2 linked regions of the Mus musculus genome follow. The protein of the gene in region 2 binds, or shares a complex with, the protein of the main gene of each other region. Links are inferred from orthologs where the notes say so. Each region holds a gene or a part of one and is shown on either strand. Other genes may lie near its edges.

Region 1 (7,349 bases), on a different chromosome or scaffold from region 2:
GTCCTCTGCGCTCTGCACTTACATAGTAGCAAGTGCACAACTCCCTCACTAAATCAATAAACATCTTCTATGAAGCAGAGCGGGAGATAGAAGATGTGGTTTCCCAGTCAAATAAGCTATAACAAAACGGACTCCAAAACAGTAAGATCGTCTTGTTAAGTCATTTCCCCTCACAATCCTCTCTAGTTAGCACCAATCCAGTACTATTTGTGATCGGTCTCTCCCATTTCCTGTGCTGACCCACTTTTTGAAGCGATTGGTCAGAGCAGAGCTATCCTCAGACACTCACTCTGTCATCTAACAATTCCCGGCCACTGACTCCACACCGGCAGCAGTTCAACAGGGCTGTGTGCACAGAGTTTAATCTCTGTGTCTATGCTTCTCCACAGAGCTGCCGGCCGGCTGCATGCATACTGCAGGGTGCTCAGGACAGTCAGTGTGCCTGAGGGGCAACACTGCTGACTTCACTAAACCCGGACTGAATGTACACTTAGAGAGCATGTGTCACTAGACTACTAGGCCTATCTAAGCAACACAAGACTGTGGCTCAGGGAATTCTCGCCAGTGCCTAGTATCTATTAGAGTTATTAATATGCATGTTTTATCTAGGCTAGCACAATGTTAGCACTGACTTTAAAAGAAGTCACAGCATTCTGAAATAAAAACAGAACCTAGAAACTATTTTGTCTAACCCCACATAACAACAACAACAAAAATCAAAAAAACTGAAGTCCAAAAGATTTGTTCAAAATAATGTAATTAATGGGGCAGCTGGGCTAAAATCCTACTACTAAGAAAAACATAATTTTCAATATTTGATCTATGATCTTATCTTAATCCAAAAAAGTGTGTATATGTGTGTGTGTGTGTGTTTGTGAAGTGTGATGTGTGTGTAGTAAGTGGTGTGTGTGCTCACATACATGTGTATGTGGTTGTGGTGTGTGTATGTGTGGTTGTGAAGTGTGGTGTGTATGTAGTATGTGGTGTGTGTGCACACATACATGTGTATGTGGTTGTGGTGTGTGTGTGTGTGTGTGTGTGTGTGTGTGGTGTGTATTAAAAGATAAGAGCCATACCGATGTGCTTGCTGTAGCACCCTGGAATGTTGTAGGTAAATCGTCTTGTGAGTCATTTAGTGAGAAACACTGGTTTAAGTCTGATTCAGCGATAGTCTTTCCAGATGAATTGACTTCGGCCTATAAATAAGATACACCCAAGAGCAGTGTTATAAGAACTGTGTTAACAATCAGCTAACTCCCTCTCCTGAATCCATTTGTATTGCTCCTTTCCTGTCCACTCTCAGTTAAGCTCCGTGCATGTTTGCATCTGCTCCACTGGACACTGCATCCTGAGGGAGCTGCTACCTACTATGGAACAACGCCAATGATTCCCAACCTGCAATTCTAAGAACCTCCACAAACTAAAGCTTGGACAACGTTTAGGCTCGTCAGGCTAGCTGGACTGTAGCAATAGCCAACAGTCCCAGGCTGACCAGATTTACTGTAACTGTCAGCATAAGCTGCATGTGTTCCTCACATCTGAAACATCATGACATTCTAAACACATCTGAGCCTAAGGTCTCCAGAGGAAAGATCTAAGTACAATAGGAGTCCTGGAAAGGAAGGAGCAGCATCAGGATTTATACTTCCTCCTCCAGGGACTACGCTAAAACTAAAGGGAAAACTCCCAAGAACGGGACCTAGAAACAGGCAGAGGGCAGAAACGGAAAGAAGAGGAGACAGCAGCACACAGGTTCAATGGAATACAGAAACATGAGTGTGAATACTCAAAGTATTAGAATAGTATATAAATTTTATGTTTGGGTAAAATATGCAGAAAAAGAGGAGAAAGGGGAAACTGCCAAAATGTTAACAGCAGTAACATCTTGGAGGTGAGGTTACTTTGTTTAAAAAGAACTAGAATTTAGAAAGTACTAGGGATAGATCTAAATGCAGCTATAATACATGTGGTATCCGTGTTAACTAACATAGCCTGACAAACTCCCACAAGGAAGTCCAGGCTCTGATGAACCTGGGTAAGGGCTGTGGTGGTGAAGTACTGCCTGGCACGTGAGCACACAGCCAGTGAGCTGCAAAGCTGACTCCGAGTGCAGTCGTATATGCCAGTCTAGTTTTAACTGCTCTGCTCAGTGTCGCTTATGTCTTGTAGTAAGAAAACATTACTCAGAAAATCTCATTTCACTAGAAACACATGACTTTCCTTTTTGCTAGAATTCAGCAGTAAACACAAAAGGCTCCTTAAGTGGATCTGTTTAGGAATTTACAGTACCTTAAAACTAATCTGCCTGGCCAGTTCTTTGGCTTCTTGGTCAGCCTGGCTTGAACCACTTCCAGATTTTAATGGCAACAGGACATCCTTCATGGCAGAGCCACAGCCTTCACAACAGAAATCTTGCGATCTGGTAGGATACAATGTACAATGAGCATAAACCAAACAGCGGAATACTAATTCCCTTCTATGAAGATACTCAAATAAGGATTAGAGAGATGGTGTCCAATTCCCAGAACCCACATAGCAGGTAACAACCATCTGTAGTTTAAGTGTGAAGGGAGCCCTTTGGGACCTTTACAGGCACTGCACACACACACACACACACACACACACACACACACACACACACGATGCACAGAAATATACACATATATGCAGACAAGACACCCATAAATATAAACCAAAAATAAGTCTCAAAAAAAAAAGATACTTAAATACCAAATGACTAAAAGAAAAGACTACTTAATGATGTCATAGTATACTCATATATAGGCTGTGAGACAATTAAGGCAGTATTAGTTTTGAGGTGAGGGAAAAGGACTGAGCCCTTAGGGCCAGCAGAAAGAATGGAAACAGGCAACCTTGGAAGGTAGGAAGTGGGGGTCCCTCCCGAATGCACCAGAGACCTGGGAGGTGAGAGACTCTCAGAACTCAAAGGGAGGGACCCTAGATGAAATGCCCTACAGTGGGGAGTGGGAACTTATAGAGTCCACCTCCAGCAGAAAGACAAGTGAGGGATGGGGTTGCCATACCACAGTCACAACTCTGACCCATAACTGTTCCTGTCTAATAGAATTACAGGGATAGAAATGGAGAGTAGCCTGAAAAAAAGAAGGTCTAGTGACAGGCCCAAAGTGGGATCCAGCTCAAGGGAAGGTCTCAAGGCCTAACACTATTACTGAGGCTATGGAGTGATAACAAAAAGGGACCTATCATGACTGCCCTCCGAAAGGCCCAACAAGCAGCTGAAAGAGTCAGATGCAGATATCTGCACACCCAACCAATGGACAGAAGCTGCTGACCCCTGTGCTTGAATTAGGGGAAAGCAGGAAGAAGCTGAGGAGGAGGGAGACCCTGTAGGAGGACCAGCAGTCTCAATTAACCTGAATTCCCCGAGATCTCTCAAACATTGGACCACCAAACAGACAGCATACACCAGCTGATAGGAGGCCCCCAACACATATACAGCGAGGAATGGCGGATCTGCGTTCAGTCAGAGAAGATGCACCTAACCCGCAAGAGACTGGAGGCCCCAGGGAGTTTAGAGGTCTGGTGGGGTAGGTGGGGGGTGGGGGTAGGGATCCTCATGGAGACAGGGAGGCAGGAGGAGGTGTGGGATGTGGAACAGCTGGAGGGTGGACCGGGAGGGGAATAAAATCTGGAGTGTAAAAAAAAAAAGAAAAAAGAAAAAACAGCTTAGACTCCATTTTTAAAAAATAAGTTACCTAAAGAAAGATAAGCTTCAGACCTACAGTGACAGCATATTTATGTAAACTTTATTACTGTATGACACTATCCTCAAGAATACAGGTCATGAGCCTATTCAAAGTCTATGAAAAGTTTCCTTTATCTCTTATCAGAAACATGTAAAATAGGAAAGAAGCCAATTAAAAATAGAGTTTATAGCCAGGTGTTAACACACCTTTACTCCAGAACTTGTGAGTTTGAGGCCAGCTAGGCCTAAACAGGGGACAGCCAGGGCTACACATGAGACCCTGTCTCAAAAAACAGATTCCGTTATCTCAGTACTACCAAACGGAAATGATACTTTGAATTTAATGAATTATTATGATCTATAGATGAAAATACACCAAAAAGAAAAACCCCCTGAAAAGGCAGTATTACTACATCACTACTTAAGGAAAACCTTTCTTTTATCCCAGATCATTTATTAATGTCTGCTATAAGCTATATAAGTGGCTACAAAAATAGAGTGGATTCACTTACGAGCCCAGGAATTGGTCTTTCAGGCAGCTATATATAAGTAATGGCTCTGGGTTGTCCTACCTGGATGCCAGCTAACAGGGGACAAAGGGCCAGCAATGCTTTCCAGGAGACATGGCTCCCAACTGGAGGAAAACAAATCTCTATACAATTTTTCACTTTTTTTAATTATTATTATTTTTATGTGTATGGATGTTTTATCTGTATGTATGTCTGTGCATCTCATGTGTTCCTGTACCCGCAGAAACCAGAAGGAGGAGTTAGTTGGAGCCTATGGGGCTAGAGTTACAATGTGAGTGTTGGGAATCAAACCCAGGTCAGCCCATCAGCTGCTTTTAAAAGACTGAGAGAGATGGGCTGGTGATACAGCTCAGAGTACCTGCCTCACATGGGGTGGAACCCTGGGACTAATCCTTAATAATAATCATGAGATCCATTTTTATATTCTGGTCACTCCAAGGAAACCTGCAGAACTGGATTTCTACAATTCTAAGACTGGATCCTTAGCCAAGGTGACAGCAGAGAAAGAGACTTAACACTGTTGACCAGATAGTACTCGGCGCTAACAAGGAACTTACTTTTTGGCAAGCGCTCTTCTCTCCTCGGGTGTGTAATCTAGAGAACCTATGGCCCCCTCTCCTTTAGTCGGCATAAACCCGATGATGGCCAGCAAGGCTGTCCTTACTGAAACAGAAAGTGAACATCCATTCAGTGGACGGAGCTGGGTAGGAGCAGAGCAAGCACGGGGACCCACACTTGGTCTTGAACACTCTCATGCTTTCTGTATGTTATAAGAAAGGAAAACAGGCAGACACAGCAGTGTACACTGCAACCCATGCTAGGGACACAGAGTCAGGAGGGCTTGCTTGGCCACAAAGTCTTAAAATGTTCAAGTTCCAGGTTCAATTAGAGACTTTGCCTCAAAAAATAAAGAGAATTAAGACACCCCATAACAGCTGCTGGTCTCACACACATCTGCACACAAAGGTGCACAAACACACAAAGTAAAACCTTAAGAGAAATTAGGTTAGCTCTGGAAAAGATCTGAAGGGTTTCAGAGCAGGTTATTAAAGTCATATACAAGCCCACACATGAAAAGTATTTTTGTTAATTTCTCAGTGGTGTCACATATTAGCCAAAAACATCGTCAATCTCAAAAATGTATTGTAATTCACTATTATAAACTGACTAGTAACTGGCACTTGTATTCGCTGATACTCACTGCTCCATGAAGGCTGCCAGGTTTCAGGATGATGTCCTGAGATGCTTAAACAGATCTTCTTGCCTACTTCAAATCGTCCATTAGCCTTAGAAACAAAGAACACAATTTAAAGCTGCAAAAGTCCATTTAATGCCTTATCCTTTTCATGAATGTAGTTTATATTTATTTATGCATAATAATTTTAAAGATAATATTATCTTCTTAAATATTTAGACGTAGTTTTTTGTCCTCTTATAGACATTCAAAAATACATGTTAAATGCTGAATAAATAATAAAGGCTGTTTGTAGAAGGTTTATCAGTACCTTTCTGAGACAGTGCTAAAGAGTTAGCATAGAGAGATTTACTGATGCTGTGCCCTGTGCCTCCTACAGATCTAGACTTGCCGAAAGGTAAGACACATTAAGGACAGGTTAAACCTAAGGCCAGAGTCACCTGACTAGTTGGTGAAAAAGGTGTGGGGAGGTGGCATGAGACAGGAGTGGCTTTTCAGAAGGATGATGCCACTAAATTAGAGAGAACACAATCGAGGAAGAACACGGATCGTGATTTTTGATATCAGGAAAAGACTCAGCCTCTTGGCACCTTTCCTTTCAGAGGTGACCAATGAAGCTAATTCTCACACATGAAAAGCAGCTGCAAGCCTGAACAGGAGAAGTACCACAACGTTAAGGAAGAAGGTGAGGAGAGGCAGGCACGTGGTCAGAACCATCACTCTGCTAGGAGGAGGCTAACTCCGTCCTGCTTCACCCACATCCTGGGGTCATGGTCCATAAACATTTGCTGAATCAAAGTTGGAAGTGACTTTAGGGAAGGAAGTGAAGGAGGAGGCAATACTGACCACTAAGGAGGGCAGGGCTGCTTTCCAGTGTGCTAAAGCCACTTGATCCACTGGTTAACTACTGGAAAAGAGCTGTTGCCCACTGCTCAGCACTAGCGCATACACACACACACACACACACAAATGTCATGTATGCACACACAGATACATGCATGCACACAGAAGTGCACACACATACAGATACATGCACACATGCATGCACAAAACATATATACACACACAGGTACAGACACACATACACACAGATATATGTATGCACACATACATGCATGCATGCATACACACAGGTGTACACACACACTCACACATGTATGCACACAGGTCTCCCACACATACCAGCCCTTATTCAGCTGCTTGTTTCTCCCAGTTAATGTGTCAGTGGGAGCCTTATACCAATATCAACAATTAGCAGTAAGGTCTCGTGCTTATTAAGCAGCTTCTAGATGCCAGGAACTTTAGGAAGTGTCTGTATGTGCCACAACAACATGCCATTTGACAGAAACAAAAACTAAACTTCAAAGACAATATCTAACCTATGTGCTACAATGGAAAGGGCACACACTAGTCAGAGCCCTGCCAGTTGACTCTAAAACAAAGGCCGTCTGCATCCTCCCAAGTACAGCTAAGCTGTGCTAGTGTGCGCTTTGGATGCACACCTTGTTTCACAGAGTGCTACCCCTCAGATCAGATAAAAGTTAGATGGAACAAGGTGAAGACAAAGAAGCCGTGGCAGTTCTCAGAGAAGCATGTTTTAACAAAAAACATCCGTGAAACATGACTGCAACAGCCTAAATGAGATAAGTTACCAAAGAGAAAAATTAAGCAATGAAAAGGTTATTCTGGGTTCGTGTGTGTGTGTGTGTGTGTGTGTGTGTGTGTGTATGTGTGTGTGTGCATGTGTGTGTGGTGTGTGTCTGTGTGAGGAGTGCATGTGTGTGTGATGTATGTGTGTGTGGTGTGTGTCTGTGTGGGGTGTGCATGTGTGTGTGTGGTGTGTATGTGTGGTATGTGTGTGTGTGTGTGTGTGTGTGTGTGTATGTGTGTATGTTGC
Region 2 (8,054 bases):
CTCCCTCTGTCCCTCTCTCCCTCTGTCCCTCTGTCCCTCTCTCCCTCTCTCCATCTCCCTCTCAACTTGGAACTTGTGCTTTAAGGGGCTAGGCTGCAAATCAGCAAACCATTTGTCTCCATCCCTCTCAGTGCTGGCTTACACCTGTGCTGGGACAACAACTCAGCTTATTATGTGGGTGCTGGATTCGAACTCCAGCCCTGAAGCCTGAGCAACAAGCTCTCTGAATGGATGAGCCATACCTCCAGCCCTTCTGCATTACTTCTGACTTAAGGTATTTCATATTTGATTTCAGTCCAATCTCTTTGGGTACAGTGTGTTCTATTTGCTTTGCTACTTCTGGTTTTCCGAAATTTGGTTTCTAATTCTCTGATTATGTGGCTTCACTTCTAAGGGGGTTATTTATTTATTTTATGTATGTGAGTACACTGTAGCTGTACTGATGGTTGTGACCCATCATGTGGTTGCTGGGAAATTAAATTCAGGACCTCTGCTTGCTCCAGTCTAAATATTTATTTATTATTATAAACAAGTACACTGTAGCTGTCTTCAGACACTCCAGAAGAGGGCATCAGATCTCGTTATGGATGGTTGTGAGCCACCACGTGGTTGCTGGGATTTGAACTCAGGGTTTTCAGAAGAGCAGTCAGTGCTCTTGACCGCTGAGCCATCTCTCCAGCCACTTAATGTCTTTACTTTGCTACATACTACGGAAATATAAAGTCCATATCCCCAATAATCACTGTATTTCACCCTCATTTTAGACATTTCTAAATCCACTCCTGCTGTTCCTGCCTCCCTACTGGCACGACTTCTAATTTAAGTATTAAAATGTCTGAGTAGCTGAGGATATGGTTCAGTGATGCGGAATCTGTCTCGCAGTCTGGCAGAGATGGTTCAGTGGATAATTGCTACCTAATCCTGGAAACATGAGTTTGACCCCTGGAGCCCACAGGAAGGTAGAAGAAGAAAACAGAACCCACGAAGTTGTCCTCTGGCCTCCATGTATGCACCATAGCACGTGCATATCCATACACATACATCATATATGTACAATTATTATTATTGTACAATTCTTATTATACATTAAGTACAGTTACAACATTTTTTAAATTAATTTGCCTAGAAGGCATAAGGTACTGAATTTTATCTCTGGCATCAAAACAACAACAAAATCTTTCCTCAGAATTGATTTTGAAACCAAGTTGTCCGAGGTAAACCATATGAAAGGAACACACGGAACACACGGGGGAAAGAAGAAGGACCCTCCCTCTCCCCACTGAATTGTCATGTCTCTTGCTGTCAGAGACAAGAGTTTTGACCTAAATGTCTGAGGATTTCATTATACGAAAAGTGTACACAGCAAGTAAGCTATATTCAAGAGCTATGTCACTAACCTTGTGTGTGTGTGTGTGTGTGTGTGTGTGTGTGAAGTCTCTGCAAGTTACCTGAGCTGGCTGTGAGTTTATGATCTCCTACCTCAAGCTCTTGAGTAACTGGAAGTACATGCCTGTACTAATAGGCCTGGAATGACCCATGGTTTTGTCTTAGATGTTTCTTTCTTACATAGAAGCCTGCTAGTACAGTCATAGGCCATCTTAAATTCTCACATAGGTATGAAACCCCTTTCCATAAGGAAATGAATATAACTGAAGGGCTCTCTAACAGGCCCAAGTGTTGTAAGCATGGCACCTGCAGGTCTTGCCCTCTCCCCTTCCCTCTCCTTTACTAAGCCGTTAGGTTACATTCCTAAAGATAGCCACCAAGGTCCATTCCCTTATTTGGCTATTTCTTTATGCCTGACTAAAACACCAAGGTCCAGCAATCAAAATTCATTATTCAGCTACACTGGCTGATGTGTCCATTCGGGACTTAACAACTCATCCTGGCACAGATTTCCCCCTTTTTCCTTAAAAAGATCACTCCTGCAGAGACATCTACTGCTGTCTTTGCCTGATCCAGAGACAACCGCAACCCTACCCCTGCTTGTCCTCTCTGGGGTAATAAAATCACCTTTGTCTTGAGAAGTTGGTGCCCCTTCAATAGCCCATTTTTCTCTCAACTTTATAGATCAAGTGCTTTACCAACTAATGTCAAATTCCCCAAGACACTCCCCAGCTGCTGCTGGTAAAGCCATTAGGTGCAGCATTCCTCCCTGAGTGGCCACACTTGTTCCCCATTGCCTGTCCTTTCCCCTATGAATAAGCTAACTTTGACTCTAACTCATTATGATTATTTTTTTCAGCACAGTTTAAGAATCTGGGTTGCAGCCTGGCCGTGGTGGCACGTGCCTTTACTGAGTGTCTCCCAGCACTCAGAAGACAGAGACAGGAAGATCTCTGTGAGTTTGAGGCCAGCCTGGTCTACAGAATGAGTTTCAGGACAGCCAGAGCTACATGGAAAAACCCTGTCTCAAAAAATAAAAATAAAAAATAAAAAAGAAGGAAGGAAGGAGGGAAGGAAAGAAAGGGGAAGAGAGAAAGAGACAGGGAGAAAGGAAGAGAATGAATGAATGAATCTGGTCTGTACCTAAATAAGGGTCTCTGAAGCTGGGAAAGGAGTGTCGCAGGTTGCAGAGCTGGTGGTGTTGAGCTATGTTTCCTGCTGCTAGTGATGATCGTGAATAGGTGTTCAAGTGTTTCATGGAAGATTTTCCCTTGAAGCAGATGAATTTCTTAAAGGCCAAAAGTGATGTCTTTTCTGTCTCCCAGAGGAAAGACAGGATTGACTCTCGGCATCACTGTCATGTTCAAGCCATTAGGTGCGGCATGCTGTGGTGAACACCAGGACCAAAAGCAAGTTGGGGAAGAGTTTATTTGGCTTCCAATTCTACATTGTAGTCCATCACTGAGGGAAGTCAGGACAGGAACTCAAATGGGCAGGAACCTGGAGGCAGGAGCTGATGCTCATCCCATGGCTTGTCTTCCTTCTTATAGAACCCAGAACAGCAGCCTGGAGTTGTACCACCCACAGTGGGCTGGGCCCTTCCACATCAATCACTAATTTAAAATGCTCTACAGGTTTGCCTACAGCCCAATCTTACAGAGGCATTTTCTCAATTGGTCTTGCCTCCTCTCAAATGACTCTAGACTCTATCAAGTTGACATAAAATTAGCCAGCACAATAATCGTTCAATATTCTCATAGTATTTGGCTCTTGTAGATTCCTTATATGGTCCTGGGAATTCAAAGTCACACAACTACCCCTAACTGGGCTTATTAACATAGCAAAGTGTATTAAGGTTATCAGTATCTGGGAGGCTGCATATAGATGAAAAGAAGACGAAACCATACACAGACTAAGGTGCTAAGCAAGAAACAAATACTGTGGTTGAAGGAGTGGAAATTCTGGTGAGTCAGATGCAGTTTCACAAGGGACAATCATGTCCTAACCCCACAGGATCTTCTCTAGGGACCTTGGTAATGGAGTTCATTAGAATTCTCAAGAGTGGTGGCGAATGCCTCACAGACGTAAGCCTAAATGGATGCGTTCACAGTGTCCAGGACCACGTCCTCGGCATCGCACACGTGGTTGTGCGATGCCGCGACGCGTTACGTTACCGAATATGCCACAATTTATGATTAAAACGTACCACAGAGGACCCCCGAGAAACATCGCGTAGCCCAGGAACCAACTCACAAAGCACCACCAACCGCCCGCCCGGCTCCCCAAGCCTGGCGCGCCGGAGAGGTGGGGTTTCCGCTTCCGGAGGCGGATTGTTGACGCCCACTGCTGCTGTGGTGGCGAGCGAGCGAGCGGTTGGGGAGGGGCCGCCGAGGGCGGGCGACGGCGCCTTGACAGGCAGCGCGGAGGGGGCCTCCGGGGCGACGATGGCAGAGGGGCCCGAGGAAGCCCGGAGCCGCCCTCCGGAGCAGGATGGCAGTGGCGGGGACCACGAGCCGGTCCCTTCCGAGCCAGGCTCTCCCACCACCACCGTCGCCGCCACCGCCGCCGCCCCCCGGTCCCCGGCCCTCGCGAGCGTCGCCTCGGCAGTGTCGGAGCCCGAGCCGCAGTGCGAGCTCCGCAAGCGCCGGGAGACGGGCGCGGAGCCTCCGGAGGCGGGAGACTGCGAGGCGTCGGACGGCCCGGGGCGGCTGAGCGCGCGCGAGTACTCGCGGCAGGTGCACGAATGGCTGTGGCAGTCCTACTGCGGCTACCTGACCTGGCACAGCGGCCTGGCCGCCCTGCCCGCCTACTGCGGCCCGCCACCACCCGCCGCCACCGCCCCGCAGCCCGCCGTCCCCTCGCCGTCGTCCCCGCCGACGCCGTCGTCCCCGCCGCCACCGCCGCCGCCGCAGCTGGCGTACTACAACCCCTTCTACTTCCTGAGCGCTGCGGGGCCCGGGCCGGGGGCGGCCACGGGCGGCGCCACCCCGACGGCTGTCGCGGGCCTCACGGCCCGGGCCCCGCACGTGCAGCCATCGGCCCGGGCGGCCCCCGGGACCAGGGTGGGTTCTGCAGCCCCTGCGCGGACTGCCAGCGACACCGGGCGGCAGGCAGGTGAGATCGGGGTTGGCGCGGGGGTGGGGTGGGGGGTGTTGGGTAGGATGGAGGAGGGATAGAGTCGAGGTCCTTTTTAAAAAAAAAAAAAAAAAATCACTGCCATTCCTACCACTAACATTTTGGAAGGATCTCACCCTGTGGTGTAGGCTAACACAGTATGTAGGCCAGGCTAGCCTCAAACTTGGAATAAGACAGGTCTGTACTAGCCAGAGGGGTCTCTTGAAGGATCATTGAACAAGTATGCTCGCTCCTGAAAAAATATAACCGGGGAGCTGCTGCTACCATTGATAGTTCCCACATACATCAGCTATGGTTTGCCCAGGCCCTAAATTCTAAAAACGTACTGTGAAGCAATGTTGATTGTCCTTCCCTTAAGACCTGGCACGGCTAGTAGGTTCCCTTACTCCTGACACTAGCCCTTCTTGTGTGTAGAGACGTATGCTTATCAAACCATCCTCTCTGTAATCTTCAGGCTCTGGAAAGATCCAAAGCTAGCCTTGGGTGGCAAGCCCGCTGTTGGGAGGCTCGAGATTAGAATACTAGAAATCACCAAGACTTGGGCCGTGTAAAGACAGTGGAACTGAAAGGCGATTGACATGATTACAAAACGAGTCTAGAGAGCTTTGACTGGCCTCAAGCCTATTGGTCATGAATATCATCTAGTAAATGATGTGTAGTCACTGGTCTTAGCAAACCGTAGGAAAGTTTGCAGCCAGTCTTCTGAGTCTGGGGCTGGAATGCTGGGATTACAGGCATAGCTCACCATGTCCAGCTCATTATTAGATATTTTAGAAACAGGATCTCTTGATGGGATCATTGCCGTTGGCTGATGCAAAGCTATAATCTTAAAAAGTTTAGTTGGACCTTGACTTTACTTTGCCGCTTTCTTATCTGGCTTGGTTCTTAAACTTGTGTAACTCATTTTTTTTCTTCTTCTTCCCAATTTCCAGGTAGAGAGTATGTCATTCCATCCTTGGCCCACAGATTTATGGCAGAGATGGTGGATTTCTTTATTCTCTTCTTTATAAAAGCAACCATTGTCTTGAGCATCATGCATCTCAGTGGAATAAAGTAAGTTAAGAACAGTCAGAAAATTCTGGAGCTGTCATTTAGGGATCTTGTTTTGTAAATTCTGTACATGCTCATGAGTAACTCTGGGTAATGGATGGATGTCCAAGACCAAGACTTCTCTATGAAATCTTTACCAGTTCTATTTGTTTCCCTATTGGTTGTTTTTAAGTGTGTTTATATGTAACCAAGAGGTCTACTTTGGTTATCTTCTAATCTCTCCTATATTTTTTTGAGGTGGGATCTCTCACTTGACTTGGGGCTTGTCATCTCAGCTGGACCAGCTGGCCAGCAAGTCCCTAAGATCACTGGTCCTCCCTCTCAGTGCTACATAGGTATATAGGTGTCCTGGGCTTTAGATGGATTCTGGGGATGCACTCAGGTCCTGACATTTTATATAAACACTTTACCCACTGAGCTATCACCACAAGCCCCTTGGTTTTAAGAAAGAAACAAAGAACTTCAGTATGTTGTTTAAAATCTGAGGGAAAAGGAGGGAGGCTTTGGTGGCATGTTCCTTTAATTCCAGCACTCAGGAGGCAGAGGCAGGCAGATCTCCGTGAGTTCAAGGCCAGCCAGAGTTAAATCCTATCTCAAAAAAGATTTTAATAGGTTAAAGAAGCCTTCAGACCTGGCTTGTTTTTTTTATTAACCATTCTCTTGGGCCAGGAATGTGTTAGTTTCCTTCTTATTGGCCTATGAAGGCTCTGCCATGAAAGCACAGAGGGGCTGGGTCGGTGGTCAGGGGTTAAGAGTGCTCACTGCTTGTCCCGAGGCTCCAAGTTCAGTTTCCATGTCAGGCAGCTTATCACTGCCTCTAACTCCAGCTCCAGCCTCATGTATACACATGGCATACATTTGTATACACATACACACACACAATTTTCAGAGCACAAAGAGCTTGTGGTAGGTGGACTTAGTAATCAATTTCAGTGGGGTTGTTTTCAGTTGAGCAGATTCAATGCAAAGTATGGCATTTACTTGAGAAACTCAAGTTTTAGGATAATGCCTGCTCCCAATTGCTAAGCATTTTCTATGAGACACTTATTTACGTTTATGAGACGATGTCAGAATTGAAAAGAAGATAGAAAAGTCAAGATACAAAGTAGTGTTAACCTTGGGCCCCCGACAGGTGTTGGGTAGCTCCTGCCTGTCCCCTAACACAGCCTTTATTATTATTGTTTACATTTATTTATTTGGAGGGCAGAAAAAAGCTGCAGAACTTAACCTCTCCAGCCTTAACATGCTGCTGTAGTTTCTACCGACAAGATAAAGTCTGAATTTCATTACATGGTTTAACATGCCCACATTCTCCTCAGTCTCCTTACACCATGAAATTGAGCCCTATCACTTGTTCCAAGGCTTTCTCTCCTGCCTGGAGCTTCTTCCTGCTTCTTAGTCTGGCTGGCTTCTCTTCATTCTTTGTATTGTATTGTGCACTTAGAAATGTCATTTCTGAGAAGACTGGTCTGTTTTCTGTGGTGTTCTGGTTGGCATCCCAGTTTATTTTTGTTCTATTTCCCTTGCTTGGTTAGAATCTCTGTGAAAGCTGAGGAGATACTTTTAGTATCCCTTGCTGTGCCAGTGTGCCCTCTGATGCAGTGATAAATACCATGATCAAAAGCAACTTTGAAAGGAAAGAGTTTATTCCATTTTACAGCTTGTAGTCCATCACTGAAGGAAGTCAGGGCAGGAACCTGGAGACAGGAACTGATTCGGAAGCCATGGAAAAATGCTGCTCTTCATGGCTTACTCAGCCTGCTTTTGCTTTTCTTATAGCACCCAGGACCACCAGCGCAGGGGTGGCACCACTCACAGTGTGCTAGGCCCTTCCCACATCCATCATTAATCAAGAAAATGTCACATAGACTTGCTACAGGCCAATCTGATGGAGGCATTTTCTTAACTGAGGTTTCCCAATTAAGTTTGAGTTTACAAACCAGTCACTGCCCTATCATCAGGGCTGGCATCTTATTTGCTCTGCAGTGCTCTACCACTGAGGTACAAACTACCCCACAATCACAACCATGCTTTTGCTTTAATTTACTTAGGTATTTGTTATTTTTTTGAATAAAGTAATGGGTATTTTATGCACTTTGTTGGTGAGAACCTAATAGCATAGAATTTCACTTAAATTTTATGACCTAATTATGGGAAAATGGTACAAAACTGACTTAGGAGCTAATTCCTTCTAACCCCAAACCCTTCTTTTTGTGCAGGGACATCTCTAAGTTTGCCATGCACTATATAATAGAAGAGATTGATGAAGACACATCAATGGAAGACCTGCAGAAAATGATGATTGTGGCGCTTATATACAGGTTGTTAGTTTGTTTCTATGAGGTAAGCTGCTAACTGGAGCAAGTAACCGTTTTAATGGTATTTTAAATTATCTACTAGGAAAAAAATGACAATTTACAAATTTCGTAAATATTTGTCATTGAGTTTTCATAATTTTTAAAATTAACACTTTCAAGTAAAAA

The links.
Region 1: Fam8a1 (region 2) and Ube2j1 share a complex: the UniProt entries of both Homo sapiens proteins name them as parts of the HRD1 complex. The link is inferred for Mus musculus from reciprocal best matches to the Homo sapiens genes FAM8A1 and UBE2J1.

Annotation. Positions count from the first base shown.
Region 1 is NC_000070.6:33,038,927-33,046,275, reverse strand, and holds part of Ube2j1 (ubiquitin-conjugating enzyme E2 J1), read right to left. Parts: intron 5,544-7,349; coding exon 5,459-5,543; intron 4,921-5,458; coding exon 4,815-4,920; intron 2,420-4,814; coding exon 2,290-2,419; intron 1,197-2,289; coding exon 1,077-1,196; intron 1-1,076. UniProt on the Homo sapiens protein: Catalyzes the covalent attachment of ubiquitin to other proteins. Functions in the selective degradation of misfolded membrane proteins from the endoplasmic reticulum (ERAD) and is essential for cells to recover from ER stress.
Region 2 is NC_000079.6:46,665,756-46,673,809, forward strand, and holds the start of Fam8a1 (protein FAM8A1), read left to right. Parts: upstream 1-3,721; 5' UTR 3,722-3,830; coding exon 3,831-4,500; intron 4,501-5,453; coding exon 5,454-5,574; intron 5,575-7,790; coding exon 7,791-7,914; intron 7,915-8,054. UniProt on the Homo sapiens protein: Plays a role in the assembly of the HRD1 complex, a complex involved in the ubiquitin-proteasome-dependent process of ER-associated degradation (ERAD).